Diceros bicornis minor: one gene and its partner. The protein of the gene in region 2 binds, or shares a complex with, the protein of the main gene of each other region. Links are inferred from orthologs where the notes say so. Each region holds a gene or a part of one and is shown on either strand. Other genes may lie near its edges. The genes, in order: CLEC1B and PDPN.

Region 1 (9,143 bases), on a different chromosome or scaffold from region 2:
TCTGAAATTCTGCCTGAAATTCCACTATTCTTTGTTTCTCAAAAATTATATTACTTTCTCTTTTACTTATAAATCTCCAATCTGGCATCAGCTTAGAGTAATAAGTGTCAAAACATGTAAATGTGTCTCCAATTAATCTCTTTGCAGGAGCTGAGATTTCAGAGTACTCTGTTATTTTGCCTGATTGGAAAGAACTATTAATTTATTTATCTGAATTTCTTCTCTATGAGTCTGAGCCCACAAAACGAGAAAGTAGATGGTACAGCAAGTTAGAATAACACAGCACACAAATGCTCACAAATGTCACTGGACTCATGTCCTCATTTCTGGTCCAGTACTGTGCACTTCAGCTCTCAGGAAAGTATGTCAATTTTGCTGATCAACTATAACAATTTTGTAGAATATGACCAGCTTGAATATTTTTCTCTTGAATCTCTGTCTGCACATAGCCCAAATCCTGACTTCTTTTCCAACTTACATTTGCTTTCTTTTTTAATACACAAAAATATGGATAATAACTATATAAGAAATTGTAGGATAAATACTATAAAGAATTTTTGCCTTTTTAAAAAATGTGTTTTGATAAACCTGTTATTGGGTAGAAGGGAGAAGGTAGAAGGCTTGGTTTCTGACTTGCTCCCAGGACTCATGAAGAAGAGAAAAGCTACATTAAATAATAAGAAGAGAGTATATGAATGGATGTGGACGTATTTTGCTTGAAAATAGAGACTTTATTAGGAGCTATCAGAGCGGGAAATGTGGAAGAGGAGACATGTTTAATGGAAAATTTTCAACTGAAATCTTGTGTGTTGCGCAAATGAGATTGCTTCCAAACATAATTTTGGAAATTATGCAAAAAGAGGAGGATTAGCATGGATGTTGTTAGCTCAGGGCTGATCTTCCTCACAAAAAAAAAAAAAAAGGCATGTAATATTGAGATAACATTGTTATTTATATTTTACAACCATATTAAGTTTCTTTATACCTTCAGACTCTTTTATGAATTAGTAAATAGAGTTAAGGAAGTTGAGAAAGGTTAAATTACTTGTTGCAGAGATAAGACCAGAACTCAAAATCCCATAGTTCTATTTCACCTCTTGCTACTCTCAAATGTTGTAATTTTTACTGAGCTTGATAAGCTTCTCATATTAGCACAAATTGGGAGATGTGAAAAAAATATATATTGTTTTAGTGAAATATTTCACTTGAGATTTTTCTCCTTCTGACTCCAAAATATTTGACATAGACATCTCCTTACCAGAATGTTCTGGTTGGTGATCTTCACAAGAGTAGCATTCATGCCAGTACAGTACTGCTTACTCTCTTCCCATGTCAAGTTGTGCCTGAAGAATCCATAGCAACCTTCTCCATAATATCTCCAGTTTATGTCACATGGGCTGCACTTATGGCCTTAAGGAGAAACCAAGCATAGGAACCCTTTCATTCTAAATTGGGCTTAATTTTTCCCCATGTTTACTGCAGATCTCAAGATTTCCTACAGATAGCATCACAGAAATACTCCAGGGGTAGAGAAGATGAAGAGGTTACCAAACTATACGTACCCAAATTGTGCCCTTTTTCCAATGATTTTAATAAATATTGGCAGAACCGCTTTGCTAATTGCTGCAGAGTTCCTGAGAGATTTTTATTCTCAGCTCGTAGGTAGTTTTGCTGCTTGACAGCTAGGTGTAAAAATTACATAATAATTTGTAATCAGGGTAATAAGGGTGATGTAAAGACCTTTCAATGAACTTTAATTTCAGTAGAATTATCAATCTATGAAGTGTTTACTAGATGCACATGAGTAAATGAGTGCTGAAAAGGGCTAGGGTAAAGGGGAGTATAAAGAACAAATTAAGAACTATGTAAAATTGGCACCAGAGGGTTATCCAAAAGAACAAGCGAACTATTTGAAGGAGTCAATCACAAATGAGAAAATGCCATGATCAAATTGCATGCCCAAAGCAGTTATTTCAACTTTCCTTGAATGCAGGTTTCTAAACAGATTCACAGAGATGAATTTTGCTATTTTGTTTTTTATGTAATACCAAAAGATCCTTTCATTTAACACATACATATTGATTTCCTTTTATGCTCAAATACTGTGATACTCAGGTAAATAAAAGATGATGAATGACGAATTCTAAAATATCTTGTGAAAAAATAAACAATATATAAACAAGCAACAACTAAACATGATAATGTGACATTAGAGGGCTTTTAGATTTACAAGGAGAAAAATATTTATAAATTAGGTGTGATATAAATTGTCTCCTCATGGAAGTAAATAAATTCATTAAACAAAATGAGAAGGAGGACATTTTCAGAAGAAGGAATAAAATGAGCAAAATTTCAGGCAAGGAGATGTAGGATTTATTTGTGAAACAGAAAAATCCGGATTGGCTGGATCTTAAGATATGCAGGACAGGGAGAAAAAAAAATTATAAAAGTGTGAATCCATACTTAGGAGGATCTTAAAGCCCAGTTTAAAATTCTTGAAAATAGTTTTTAATTAATAAAAAAAATCTAAAAGATGATTTTTATTAGAAGGAAAGGTAAGAATTCTCCTTTATTGAGAATATCTTGAGCTACATATAGGATGATTGGAGTAGTGACAAGTAGGCAAATAGTGACAAATAAGATTAGTGGGATACACCGGGACTCTTAGGTATTGCCTTCCTCAGATCAAATCTTTGGCAATGAGTCAATACTTACATGTAATCCCCAGAGTCACCAGCCCAACGACCATCCCCATGCACAAGATCAGCAGAATCAAAGCCATCACACGCCACAAAGATGGGGTAGCAAGGTCAACTGTGGGCATACAATAAAGACGTCAGAGGGCTGGCAGTATGGCATAGCTTTGGGGCAGTGTCATCCCTGTTCCTGCTCTCTCAGGATTTTCCAAGCAATATAAACATATTCGTTGGCATATCTTGCCTGTGTTCCCTTGGTGGTCGTCAATAGTAAGCATAAACCACTCCCATTCCACACATGGGGATGGCCCCATCCCCAACGGACTTCTTCTTTCTGACTTAAAATACAACTAACTGTTAAAGTTTTATGTGTTTACTTTGTTTTGTGCCCACTCTCGTAAATAATTGCTTCTATAATCAATGACCGGAGGATCACGCCCATGTGCTGACATCTTAGAAAATGGGATTGCAAAACATTCTCTCCCCTTACCCGCTTGGTTTCTATTCCCTCCAGCATTGAACTCTATAAGCCTTAAGGTAGTGTACCCTGCTTGTATCTTTTGTTGTTTGTATTCTAAATAAATCTATCTGAGCCTATGTAGATACTACTCATGTAGTTACTACTATATCATGTAGATACCACTACAAATGCTGTAGAGAAAGAAAGTCATTTAGGAAAATAAAACTAAATGTGCTATCATTAGTAGAAAAAGGAAACTAGGTTGACCTATTTCGATAATTAATTTCCAATTTCTGGCTCTAAGCATTCTTACCTGAGGTGCGAGCTGGTTTTCGAGTTTTAATATTTAAGATGACGTATCCATCTTCATCCTGCATGGCTTTCCTTGGACTACAAGTGAGTTCAGAGTTCAATTACTTTGCAAAATGTGGTGTCCACTCTTATGATTTCAATGTCTGTCAGTCTGTGATGCTCCTCTCATTGGTAAGGCAGAGCCATATGAGTTGGAGCAAGTGTATTTTTTTTTTTCTTTCCAGGAAGCTGTTTCACAGCTGCTCGAAGATACATGGTCCTTGAACATACAAACACAAAAATAATAACTTGTGGTAAAGGAGTAGATATGGCATTTGTTTCCTGTTTCCTTATCTTCAACTCTGAATTAAGCAGTATTCCATCATGTGTATCCTTTCAAAGAACAAAAAAGTTCCTGCTTCATCTTAACCTTAGCAGAGCCTAAATCATATTGTTTAAATAAACTAATTTCTCATGAAAATTCATGGATAAAATACTAGTAGATATATGTATTGTCTATCTCACTGTGAGGAGCAAGTCTAATATAATGTGATCTAATGTGGACTAGATTAGATGTTTCATGGTCTTGGGTTAGAAGGGACCGTTCCTAATTACGACTTAGAATTCATCCAAATTCTTGCATCTCTTGCCAATCAAATTTTTCAAAAATTCAAGGACTTCAAATGAGGCAGCCTTCATATTGCTTAGGTTTAGGCATAGAAGGAAAACAATCAAAGTGAAATAACACAATTAGTGACTTGATGTATTGTGCTCAAGTGATGTTTGCACTTCAAAACGAATTTCCAGGAATGGAAAAATCTTAATTCAATGAACTCACGTAATTCCAAGTATAGTGGTATTTAGATGAAGAACTATTTGAGGAAAGGATGATATCTTAGTGCCCTTTGCATCACAATATAATAAGTATTTCACACATTTAACTTTATGAAATGGGCTTTTAAATTGTTATTTTAGCTTACATTGCAGGTAGTTATAAGAACAGCCGTAGAAAGGTCCTGCTGTATTTGTTGTAGGAATATTGGTGAGAGTGTTGTCTATTTTATCATTAGGGTTTCTCTTATATAGTTTTGTAGCAGATGTTTTTGTTAAACTTTACGGCCAGAAAAGCTTCCCTTCTTCTAAGTAACCAAGGAGGCATTTATCTTATAAATGATCTAATTTCTATTTTTCCTTTAGTTAGTAGAATGTTAGACTATATTGAAAATTTTATTTTTCAATGTAGTAATTACATAAGATCTTGTGACAAGTATTTTGTTTACTAACTTTCCCTTTGGCATCTCTTGTACATATTTTTTTTCCTCGCTGTTATCTCCTTCACTTTGAATTCTTTGTCAACTCACTTAAACTAATCTTTTATTTTAAAATTTCTTTCACTGCACACCTCAAATTATTTTGAGAATGAGGTAAAGTATAAACAAAACAAGCATGAAAGGCATTGCCTGATTTTTAAAACCCACACTTAGCAGGACTTAAATAATTTTACCAAAAACAGATATTTAATCAAAAATCCCACTCCCTTGAAATAAATGTCAAATTTAATAATGTGCTAAAAATCAAATAATCCAATTTCTTAAATCTCCAAACCACTTTTTGTCACTGAGTTTCTTATCTCTGTTAAAATATTCAGTGCTTCCCAATCACAAGCCAGGCAAATTCAGATCATTTCCCTACCATTCATCTACCACTGCTTCTATTCAAGTAACTTCTTCAGCCAAAACGACTCTTCACCCTTCCTGACAGTGCATGACAGCCCCAACCTTCCAGCACAGCCTGAGGGTTAGTTTGACTCTCTCTCTCTTCCTTTGCTCACGTTTACTCGCATACCAAGCCCAAGGTTTTTCTTTCACCTTAACTCCTATCTTCTGTGTCCTTTCTGTCACTGCCTTACTTTAGTGCTTTTTTTGTAAAATATACTGAAACACTGAAAAATAATTGTGACTAAGTGACAGAGAGAAAAGAGTGTGGAGGGTGCAGTTCAAAGGACATTTTTTTTAAAGAAAGCTTTATTCTGTTCTCTTAGTAACAAAATAAGTAACTTCTGAAAATTTATAGTGAAGTTAAATCAAATACCTAAATGCAAGATCCATGGACATTCGGAAGACTTATAATTATTGTAAACATTTTCTTGTTCAATTAACAGAAACTTTAATAAGGTCTGAAATATAACAAGTAGCTTGCTTTGTTCAGATTTCCACATCTCTAGGTCTTGGGCAATTGGTTAAATTATAAACGTATCCCATTTATTCTTCTTGCAAACCACCAGGAATATGCCAGGCTTACTTCTTGATTCATTAATTCTTAAAACTGTACATTTAACTCCAGAAGTAGGTAAACTTGAAATGGGTAACACTAAGCCTCAGATGATTTTCCTTTCCTATATCTCAGCCTCTGGATTTTCCTTTGGTTCTTTCTCCTTGGTGTTTGTAATACATCATTGGTTTTTGGATCGTTGATTATTCTAGCCACAGGCTGAGAGTCTTATATCAAGAACTATGTTCCATAAAAATATATTGGCCATTATTTTTATCCCCCAAACATGACCTTGCAGTGTGAGAAATATACTGGATGAGAACAGACTCTCAGGTCAAAGAAGCCCCTGATAATATTAGTCTTAACTCGACTTTCTCCCTCTACGTAATCTGTAAATACAAGCTGAGTTACTCAGCAAAAATTATGCAGAGAACTGCAGGAAAAAGAGATAAATATTACAAACTTTTCTTTTTCCTTTTCCAAAATCCAGAGGCTTTGCTAGATAACTCTTAATCACCCTACAAGGCCTATCATTGACATTTTATTTCTGCTTGCATATTTTATTACTCTCTTTTTTCTTGGCCTAGGAAAGAAGAGTTGAAAAAGTCCTTTATTCCAAATATCCAGATGAGTTTGAACTTGGAATAAAAATCTTTATTTCTTTAGTATTTTAGAGATTAAGAGGCACTTTTACATAAATTTTCTCTTTTAAAGCAAATATTTTATTAATTGAATATGTTTCAAGCACTGAAATTGGTGGTGAATATTCATGGAGCAAGTTAGTCATGGTACTAGTCCTTATGGAACACAGAGGCTTAGATTTTAGCTATCCTTTATTTTTTAGTATTTAGAACAACTTCTCCCACCCACCACACACCAGCCCACACTCTTGTCCCTCTTTCTTGCTTCATTTTTTTCCATTGCACTTATCACTATCTGACACACAGAGGCTTCTTAAATATACACATTTTTGTCATGTATCCCCACAAGAATGTACTCCACGGTTCTAAAATAGTGACTGACATACTGTTACCATCCAATAGATATTTGGTAAATGAAGGAATATAGGTACAATGGGAATTTTGATCCTAATATTACACATGTAGAAAGAGAAGTTTAAGGAATTTGGGGACTTTTCTATGATCATACTTATAAAAAGCAGCACCATCTACTTAGTTTTCCAAGTTCTTTCCACTACATAAAGGCGTCTTTCAAATTTAGGTATTGGCCGGATTCTATTATCTGTGTTTATAGCTGAAGAATGAGTAAAATATACTAGGATCACAATGACAAGGTATAGATGCAAAAACAAAGGAACTTAGTGGAATCCATAGCATCGTGGATAAGACTGATCAATATATAATGATGGCTAGTGGATGTGTAAAAGAGAAAGACGAAAAGAGAATGATGTTGATACTGTGAGTGTTATAACAATGTCTCTAAACTGAAAAAATATAAGGGAGGTGAATATTTTGCAGCTGGTCATAACTTTGTACAGACTTCTTAATGTACATCACCTTTAAGCTAACCCTTAGGTGCATTTATAGGTGATAGCTTGTTCCCTCCCTCAGTCCTGCGCATTAAAATTTTTGGTTCACCTTTGAGTTACTAGCCTTCTACATACGTATTAAATATTGTTTATCTTTGGAAAAGACTAGGATTTCCTGTCATGAAAAAAAGGATAATTAATATTTTTCTTAAATTTTCAGAAAGCTTAAACATGTGGATTGAAAAGCAGAATGCATTTTATTAAAAGTTAATGAACCAAACAATGAATAATTATCAGATAACAACTGTGGCCGAGCATTTTGTTACACATAGTAGAGAAAATGAAGGAAAAAAATGTGTTAGACTGCATCCATAACACTGAGAAGTTTATCATGCACATGCTTACAAAATATCTGTAAATAAAAAAGTTAAATAATAATCAAATGAGGGGCCGGCCCGTGGCATAGCGGTTAAGTGCGGGCGCTCCACTGCTGGTGGCCCTGGTTCGGATCCCAGGCGCACACCAAAGCACCGCTTGTCAGGCCATGCTGTGGCAGCATCCCATATAAGGTGGAGGAAGATGGGCACGGATGTTAGCCCAGGGCCAGTCTTTCTCAGCAAAAAGAAGAGGATTGGCATGGATGTGAGCTCAGGGCTGATCTTCCTCACACACGCCCATACACACAAATAATAACAATAATAATAATCAAATAGAATATGTAAGACTTGAGTTAAGATTTGAAGGAAAGGCAAAGATTGCATAAAGAGAGAGAGGAAAGGGGAATGTTTTCAGGCAGGGCAAATATCTGAACAACGCTCTGAAAGTTTGAATGAGTATGATGTGACCAAGAAAAGTGAATTGATCAAGTGTATTTGAACTGATGATTCATGTCACAGTATACTGGGACATAAAGTGTCCTAATAAAATCACTATAAAACTTACATTGCAAGGACAATTAATCAGTTATCTGAACATATTTTTGTTGATCACTGTGTATGTCCCAGGCACTATTCTATTTCCTGGGGATTAAGTTGTGAACAGAACTTACATAAGTTGTGCTCTTATTGAGGTTATATTCTAGTGGAGGATGGTGAGCAAAGAAGCCAAGAAAGAAAAGAGCAGGATAATTTCAGATGATGATAAGCACTATGAAAAAAATCGTATAATAGAACTTTACTGGTGAGGCTTGGGGCTGGCCCTTGTTGTGCCCATTTGAATTGGTTTGTTTAACCTTCACTAGAAGTACTTGGGCAACTGCATAGGTTTCTTCCATTTTTAAGATCATCCAGAATAATTTAAGCTTATTTCTGATATAATAATAGTGATAGCTATCATTTGTTATTGTTTCTATGTGCTTGTATTAATTACTTTTGTGGTAGGTATTACACCAATTTTATTAACAGAAAAAATAAAGCACAGAGGTTAAGTGACTTGCCAAAGTCACTGGACAAGTAAATGTTGATTTGGGATTTGAAGCAATCAGTCTATCTTCATAGCCCTTTATTTTAATCAGGGTATTTTATTATCCTCATGGGATGAATATACATTTCAAAATAAATTCTATCCGATATTCATCCTCTGGCTCCTCCCTGTGGCCATTTTTTTCTGTTTTTATCTTTTCTCTAGGTCTTTGACGAGTCCAGATTTAATCTTCACTTTTTTCCATTACTTTTTGTAAATAATTTTGAATTAATTCCTATTCTACCGATTCTCTGGGTACTATCCAATATAGGCCCCTCTTTAAAAGTGTTCTCTGAAATAGGCATAATATGTGGGAATGGAATGGTCATTGAGGAACAGAGTGAGAATATAACTTCCTATTATGTAAACTCAGTATTTCTTTTCACATGTCCCAAATCAACAATACTTCCATATTTAATACCTGTGTTCCCTTATTTTCTGCAATGAACAGTATTTTCTTATGGATTTAATTCAT
Region 2 (8,846 bases):
GCCTGGCAGGAGCATATTTACATTCCTCCCATGAGTTTCACAGGACACTGCTAGGTATTCGAGTCTTCTCTCTCCCCACGCCCTCCCCCGTCATATTTCCACAAGTTGTAACCTGGCATGCCTGCTCTTAGAAGCCAGAAATATGACAAATATTCAGATAAGCCAGTGGAATTTAAAGCACAAGTCCGCTGCCTTGCTGGTGAAGACTCCTGAGTACGCTTTATAATGTCAGGTGTGCCCCCTCAAACATGCATATGGTTCAAATCCTGCATTGAGCACCAGCCCAAGCTCTTGGGAGACGCTTAATTAATATTTGGGGAACGAATTTATGAATCTTCTTTTAATGTACTGTGACATTTTTATTCTTAAAGGAGTATCATGGTATTTGATGTAAAGGACTTTTTGTACCTTAAAATATTTTGTTTTCATGTTTAAGGAACTTAAAGTGAGGTTAACCTTTAATTTCAAGTTCAACTTTTTTTTTTTTTTGCAGCAATGTAATGTAGTGAAAAAAGCTTGGGCTTTGGAATTAGACCCATTTTCGAATCCCAGTTCTGGCACATTCTGAAGATAATAGTGTATAATTTAAGGAGTTGTCATGATGAAATGAGGTAACGGACGTTCCTCACACGCGGCAGGGGATGGGAATGGGAGGGAAGCAGTGCCCTTCCTACTTGGCCAGCCTATCCACTGTCACGCCAAGGTTTGGGGTCTTTATAACTCTGTGGTAGAGAGTCATTCATGGGCCACTCCTTTCAGAGAAAGAGAAGAGCCGCGTACCTCCGTTCAGCCAGGTTCCTCCCTATTCGCCATGTCCCGACTTAGCCTTCTCATGCTTGGATACTTTTTAAAAATGTGCATGTACTCCAGTGTAATGGATAGGCCTCCCTCACAAAGGCTCTAACAGACCTGATCTTTACTAAATGCTTGATAGATGCCTTAAGGGCAACCAAAACTTAGCAACTCATGAAGATTTCAGGGCCTCCGAAACTGGCAAGAGTTCGGGGGAAATTTGTGCACCGCATGATTAATCCTGGGTAGATTGGTCCCGGAAAAGCACACGTGGGTTTGCAGCAAGCAGCAGCCTGCAGAATTTCACAAGATAGATTTTCTAACGGAGAGGCCCTGAAGTACGTATTTTGGATGCAAGATCAGAGTGAGGGTGGGGCCTCACAGTGGAGGAAAGTGCCAGATGTGTGGACAACAGAGCTCCTCTGAATCCACTCACATCCAAAGAGACAACACACGGGACCAGATTATAAAACCGAGCCAGATTATAACACTAGATGAGGGAAGCACAGTGGGGAGTAGGAACCTAAGAGAAGGATAATAAAAATCATCACCATAATTACCCCCAGCCCAGCTCCCCAACAAGAGCCAACAATAGCCAGTTCAATGAAGTTATTCATCCATATTCAAGTCGCCTCACTCATTATCCTCAGACAAAACCCCTCTTGGGCCTCAGCTCCTTGCCAGCAGCCCAGCAACACAGCATCCACACACAGCCGGCCCCCAACACAGCCAGGGGAGGAGGGGCCTCTGCCTTGAGCAGTCTAGTTTCTAGTACCAATGGTGGCTGCTTTCTCAGACAAAGTTTACTGCCACCCTGTAGGAGTACCTTTGACATTCAGGAACTGGCTTAAAGATAATTACAGCCAACCCTCCCCAGAGAGAAAACAGGGGATGCCGCCCAGCTGCCGTCTGTCTTGAGCGGAGCTGGGATGCGCCTGAGTTCGGGGGCCTCCCACACCTTGCCCTGGTGAGCACAAAACGGTGTCATCTGCACACTGTCTCGCCAAAAGGGAAATGTAACTGAAATGCAGAGCTGTGTATATTCTAGAGGAACGAGAAGTTCCAAAGATAGGACCATCACAAATAGCCCATGGCCCTGCAGAGAGTTGCTGGGTCTCTCCGAAGCAGACAGCGGGCACAGAGCACTACACCCTGTGTTATTTCCCTAGGGCTGGGTATTTTTGTCTTTGCAGGGAATTATAGAAGCCTAGGTCAGGTCCACTCCTCCCTCACACCACTCCCTCCAAGAAGGAGTCCTCTGGCACCAGGACTACAATCCTCAATTTGGAGAATGTAAAAGTTCACCTTTCAGAGCTTGGCTCAGCAACCTCCAACTCCAAGGATCAGTAGTGAGCTTATAATTCCTTCAATCAATATTTAGTGAGCAACTACTACGTGCTTGACATTGTTTTGGCCCTGGGGATCAAGGCTATGACATAGCTGTGTCCTTGGGAGCTTATATTCTATTGGAAAAACAGATACAAAATAAACCCCCAGGAAAAGAAATAAAATATTCACACACGTGCATGGATGCCTCCAACACAGCACACTGGGCAGAAAGAGGTAAGAAGAGGAAGAAGAGCGAAAGGATAAGGGAAGATGTAGGTGATGGTAGGCAGGGCCCGCAGCATCAGATCTAAGACAGTTAAAAGTCTAAGGAGTCACCATCACTCAGTTATTGATGCTGTTGACCAAGCTCAACACACGGCCCCAAACCACCTTAACCCTCAGTGTTCACAGTCATCCTCTGTTCCTTCAGCCACTCACGAGCCCTCTCCACCTCAGTCCTCTCCGCACACACCGTCCTCTCTACAGAGGATAACCGAGGCCTCTTCCAGCTAGCTGGTCCCCACTGATGGGGCCTGAGTGTGTCCAACATGCCGGGGCACAGGGTGTAAGATCTGGCAGCCCCGGGAGGGAGACGATCACTATACAGAGGAAAACCTCCCCCAACCCCAGCACTCCTGAATGTCCCTCCCGACTCCATGGGGCCAGTTTCTTCTGAGGCCCTGGGCGTTCCCCCAGAACGCAGCCCTGCAGGAAAGCCCAGACCTGCCAGTGGAAGGCTCTTTGCTGTTACCCCTTCGCCCTAGCGCTCGTGCCCCGAGCAGGGGGTGGAAGGAGGTGGGCTGCCCTGGAGGGAGGCCCCTCTGCTCCCCACCCTTGCTGCCTGTGGATTCGGGGGCTCCTCCTTGCACTCCGCTCAGCTGTTTCTTTGGGACCTGGCACCAGCTAAGCCTCTGTCTCTCCTTCTCCCGGGTCCTCCAGACTCGCACACACGCACTCCCGGCTCCCCTCTGCTCTCCCCGGCAACCTCAAATGCCAGGCCCAGGCGTTCCAGCAAGCCCCAGCTCGCCAGTCCCCACCAGCAGCTGCAGACTCCTGCTGAGTCTTACCTCCTTCTGCCAGGACCCAGAGCCACGCGCTTCCCAAAACCAAGAGCAGAACCGGCACCTTCCACATCTTCTTAGTTGACTCGTTCTCTTCGGGGGCCGAGCAGCTGGTTTCTGAACTGGAGGAAGATTAAAAATCTCTGCAGCCACAGGCCCGGCGGAGCGCGAGTGGAGATGCAAGGAGCGCAAGTCCCAGCGCGTGATGGGTTCCCAAGCTTCCTTCACCCGCGCAAGCAGCCGGAGCACCAAACTTTGCTGGCAACTTTTGGATGGGAGTCAGCATTTATCTCTCCCGAGGAGGGCGGAGAGAGGTCCGCTGTAAGGTGGTCCCAGTCCGGGGCTCACTAGGACCGCCCCCTCGCTCTGTTTGGCCCGCGCGAAAACGATGACCTCAGGCCAGGTTTAAAGTTACAGGGCTGCAGCTGCGGGGGCCGCCAGGGCGCGCGGAGGGCCCGGAGCGCCGCAAAATTGGCTTTTATTCCGTTCTCCAGCAGGAGGGAAAGGGGGCGCATGCAATAAGCAATTTATTTTGTTTAATATTTTACTTTATTTATTATTCTGATTTTTAAGAGTGAGGCACAAGCCTAGGTTTTTCTTGTTGTGAGAAGTAAACTATTCCTTGTGTGGCCGGTAATTTTAGAACTAAGCATGGGATTGTTCTTGTAAATATTGAATCTGATGGCTTAATGAAAAAAAAGCGAGCGTCCTCATCTGGGTGGGCAGGGGCGGCTCGCGCTGGTAAATTGCGCCCTTGTCCAGAGGACCCGAGGGGGCGGTCTCCAGGGGCCTGCCCGAGAGCCGGCCGGGAGCTTGGCGGACTCGGTGGCTTTGGCAGTTTGGGAAAAAAGCCTGAGCTGGAGATCCGCCTCTCCCGACTGGATGCAGCGCTGTGATGCTGGGGCCCGCGGACCGACACGGGCGGCCGGTGAGGCGCTGCAGCCCGAGGATGTCCGAGGACCGACCTGGCCACCAAACACGTGTCCGCTTCCAGCTGGGGCTCAGCCCTTTTAACCCTGGAGTTTGGCCCCCAGATCCCCACTTTACTGATTTAAGCAATCTTGTTCTGATCTCAGGTACTGGATGTTAAGAACAGGAAAAGAATTTATATTTTTTACTTTATTTCCTTTTGAATTGCTGGAATTTAAAGAGAAACATTTTTTAAAAGAAGAGGAGTTGGGGAGGTGGCCTCTGCCACACTCCGGATGCCACAAATTCCATTCAGCAAAAAAAAACTGAAGACTAATGCCCCAAAGGTCCACCTTGGGGTGAAAATTGGTTGTTTTCTGACCCTTATCCTGGACCCTGATTCCAAATTTACTTTATCATAAGAATCACCTGAGAAGATTGCTTGAAAAACTCGGATTCCTGGGGTCTACCCCCAACTCATTCCTCAGACCCTTTGGGAGTTCGTATTTCAAGCCAGTGGCACCCTGGAGCGGGTGAATCATGTGAATTTCCGGGAGGAGGTGTTAAAATGCAAGGGCAGCTTCTCTGGGTCTGGGGTGGGGAGATTCTGAATGTCTAAAGATCTCCCAGGTGCTGCCTTGTCCTGGGGTTCAAGAGAGGAGCTGACACCCAAAGTAGGGGGAGGAAGGGGCCCTGTGAGTCGAGGGGTTGGAAATGTAAAGAGAAAACTAAAGAGAAGATCATCTGAACTGACTTCCCACCTTCTAAACGTTACTGTACTATCAGTAATGTTTGTCGACAGACTGAATGGTGCACATATAGTCTGTCAAGCCTGCTGGTGGAGAAGAGATGCGAATCCACTCCAAAGTCAAAAATGAAAAAGAAAAAGATAGACCACCTTCAGTTGCAAGCGGAGACAAAATGAAGCCTAGGTGGGAGAATGGGGTAAATGCAGCTAATATAGAGAGTACTTGGGGCTAGGTTATTAATGAAGGGGAGGCCCCTCTACCCACCCTCCTCCCCAACCGCCCCAGGCATGTGTCTAGAATCTGCAAGGTTGGTCACTTGACCTTCGGGTACAGGATGGAGGAGGGGAGGTGATGGGGGGCTGTCTATGGACAGGGTCCAGAGGCTGCTGGGTTGGGTAACTGCAGAGAGTGGCTGAGCCTACTGGGGGGACTTTCCTCAACAATGTAAACAGCAGTGGAGAGAGAGGGGACTCCGGCCTTGGGCACAGGGGTTGGAGCAGCGGTGACCTGAGTGACTCAGGGGTGGGATAGAGAAGCAGCAGTCAAGCGGCCTAGATGAGGGGAAGAAGAAAACAAGTAGGGAACATGCCAGAAGATTCCTCCATTCTTGTGAAACAGCTTGTGCTCCTAAAGCGGTGACTGGTAAGATAACAGGGACATTTACCCTGCGCTATTTTATTTAATCCCCAAAACCATACTTGGGTTAAGAACAGATAATACCCATTTTACGTGCAAGGAAATGTGTGGTTTCCAAAGCTGAGTACATCAGATTCGCCTGGAGGGCTGGGTGGTTCCTCCAGAGTTTCTGACTCAGCAGGTCAGGGGAGATTTTTGCATTTCTAACAAGTTTCCAGGGGGTGCTGCTGCTGGTCCTGGGGCCCCACTTTGGGGACCACTGATTTAGAGACCACGCGGATCATACAGGGTCGTCCAGGCTGAGACGTGGAGCCACCGTCCCTCTGTGACAAGGCTTGAGCCTGCTGTAGTGCTTCTTGGTAAGGATCTGGAAAGAGGTCTGTAAGTCACTTTTAGGGAGCAGGAGGCCTCCTGAGGGTGCAGAAGCAAAAGGAGCGGAGACAGAGCACCCTGCCTGGGACCCGCCACCCCGAGGAATGCTGGAGGGGGGATGTTAGGATCTCTCAGGCTCCCTGCGTTCTCTGAGGCCTCTGCACAGGCTGAGAGCCACAGGCCATGCTTCCCCAGGCTGCCCGGGAAGACTTCTCAGCGTCTTCTCCTGCTGCTCAATGTGCACTGCTCCAGAGCTGAGATACCGCCTGATGGACCGCTGATATCAAGGGCACCTCCATGACTCAGTAATAAATCGTGCATTTAGGGGTACGAGCTGGGCCCAAAAGGTATTCAGCAGGAATGGAATGAGGCTGGGGATGGGGATGGTGGGTGGGGACAGAAGGAACCTACAGCAGCTTGGTTTGCTGGAAAGAGCCTAAGTGTTTAGGAATCCAAATTCAGCTCCATGGTGGTCTCTGGCAACACGAGCCTCAGCCTGTGCTTCTTTAAAATGGGCGTGTTATTCCTACTTTGGAGAGTTCTATGCACACAAAGAAGTCTAACTGCTATGACTACCATGATGGCTGTTTCCGCCAGGCCCTGCCTGGTTCTCAGCCTCTTTAGTCCTCTGGTGCCCCCCTGTGCCCACCTGAACACGGCCAGCCCCAGCCTCTAGGGCGGAGGTTCTTGACATGGGCCCAACAGTACTGGTTCCTTTCAATCTCAGGAAACCCAGCTGGACCAGCACACAGGGACTCAGCATCAACTCATCCTCTCTGCTAGTGCAGCCCTCACCTTGGCCTTATTCCTGAGAGGCGCCCCCCGCCCATCCCTGTTCTGCTCTCTGGGCCCAAGTCCCCCCAGGGAAACCAGATTATCTCCTGGTTCCACCCAGGAACTTGTGTTCTGCACGGGGACCTGGGGGCTGGCTGCTGCCGTTCCAAGCATAGGGAGCTGGCTTTGATTTCTGACCCACTGGGCTGCCTCTATTTGCCAGAGCACCCCATTGTTCTCCCAGGGGTCTCCCCAATGCTGACTCCCCCCTCCTATTGTCAGAGTCAAACCATCACACGCCTTATTCCAGTGGGATGCACACGATTTTGCTTGCGGACCCCCTAAAAGAATTTTGAAAAACTAAGTACCAGTTATTTTTCATCATAGAGTTAAATAAATATATGTTCAGTGGGAGGTAGAACATATTAAAGACTTCTTAAAAAGAAATAACATGAAGACTGACCATAATTGGAAAATATATTTCATGACACCATTTGATAATGCCACCTGAATAAGCATGAAAAAAATTGTGTAAAATTTTTATCTCTGAATTTAAATCCACACATCTGGATATTTTTTGATAGATCTGGAAAACTTTCCAGTTATACTTAAGAGTCAGCATCACTACCATATTCTTTTAAAAAATGATGTGCATTTATTAATTTTTCATTATAAAAATATGCATTCCTTAAGGAAAATGTGGAAAACAGCAATGTAGAAAAGTTATCATATGCCCAGAGTTCCTTGTGTATTTATTTGCAACTTCTTGTGACATAATTTCAAATTTACGGAAAAGCGGGAAGAATAACCCAGGAACTCCCGTCCACCCTTCGCCCAGATTCACCAATTTGTGGTTTTATTCCATTTGCCTCATCACTTACTCTGTATTGATGTACATGTGCACACTGGCTTTGTAATGAATCGCTCGAGAGTCATGGAAATATCTGCCCTCTATCCTTAAACACTGGATGTGAATTTCCTAAGAACAAAGACATTCTCTTTTGTAACCACAGTAGAATTAGCAAAATCACAAAATTTAATATTAAAACAATACTATTGTCCAATCCACAGTCCGTATTCAAATTTTGACAACTGTCCCAGTAATGTCCTTTAGGATTTTTTTTCCGGGATCTAATCCCGGACCACACATTGCACTGGGCTGTCACATCTCCGGAAGATACTGGAACTCTGCTGCAGCCTTTCTTTGTCTTTCTTGAACTTGCTTTTTGAAGACCACAGGCTCTATTTATTTTGTAGAATGTCCTTCAGTTTGGTTTCGTCTCCGCTCTCCTCGTGATTAGATTGAGGTATGCGTTTGTGGCTGGACGACCCCAGAAGTGATGTTGTGTTTTCTCGGTGCGTCCCCTGAGGAGGTCAGGATGTCAGTTCCCAGGGCACGCAAGTGTGAACTTTGGTCCCTTGGTCAAGGCGTTCTGATCCTGAATTCGGAGCACCCCAACTCCACCCTTAACAGTGTGTATGCAAAACAGGGAAAGACAGTGTTTCACCTTGGCACCTGGGGGCTACAGAGGTTTTTACACCCCAGAAAAATGCTCCATAATAAGATTTGGGGTGGATAAGGAGCTGGCTTTCTTTTGTAAATGGGAGGAGGGTTATTGTGAAGGTGTTGCATTCTCCAGGCAGTTTTAGAGGAAAACTGACAAACATTGAGGATTTGAGAAATTGATCCATTGCTGGCACGTTCCCCTGGGGAACTCTGTGTGTGGTTTGAAGACCCCTGCCCCGTCCCCCTGCCTGGCTGGACCCCCCTCCCAGTATTAGGGCCACCTCACCCCATCCTGCTGTCATTAAAGGATTGCGCCCAATGAGTTCCAAGCTCTGGTGTCTCCCCGCCTCCTTTGAGGCTATCGTGAGCTCCTTGAAGCCGGGAGCTTACTGACACTTTCATCTTTGTAGCCCCTGCCTCTGGCACATGCTCCATAAACACCTGTGAAAGGAAAGCTTGTGATTTTATCCTGCCTGCTAGAAGATCCTCACCATCGAGGACCCCCACACACTCATATCTGGCCAAGCCCAGCCCGGAGATTGAGTCACTGGCACGTGATATACTGGCCAGCCTGACTATGCAAAGTCAAAATGAACGGGTGGCTTCCAAGATTTCTGCAATTCTGGGAAAGCTCTGTGGGCACCTCTCCAAATCTTTGTACATCCCCCTCCCACACTGCAAACTGGCTGATGGCTAAAATTCCACACATAGATATTC

What was found.
Region 1: the proteins of PDPN (region 2) and CLEC1B are in contact, whole or in part, in a crystal structure (PDB 3WSR), measured with the Homo sapiens proteins. The link is inferred for Diceros bicornis minor from reciprocal best matches to the Homo sapiens genes PDPN and CLEC1B. Residues at the interface, in NP_006465.4 of Homo sapiens: Ala46, Glu47, Asp48, Asp49, Val50; in NP_001380271.1 of Homo sapiens: Arg107, Phe116, Arg118, Arg152, Thr153, His154, Leu155, Arg157.

What each region holds. Positions count from the first base shown.
Region 1 is NC_080756.1:52,105,378-52,114,520, forward strand, and holds the start of CLEC1B (C-type lectin domain family 1 member B), read right to left. Parts: upstream 3,611-9,143; 5' UTR 3,534-3,610; coding exon 3,470-3,533; intron 2,815-3,469; coding exon 2,716-2,814; intron 1,683-2,715; coding exon 1,563-1,682; intron 1,411-1,562; coding exon 1,259-1,410; intron 1-1,258. UniProt on the Homo sapiens protein: C-type lectin-like receptor that functions as a platelet receptor for the lymphatic endothelial marker, PDPN.
Region 2 is NC_080752.1:31,866,034-31,874,879, reverse strand, and holds the start of PDPN (podoplanin), read right to left. Parts: upstream 3,461-8,846; 5' UTR 3,256-3,460; coding exon 3,189-3,255; intron 1-3,188. UniProt on the Homo sapiens protein: Mediates effects on cell migration and adhesion through its different partners.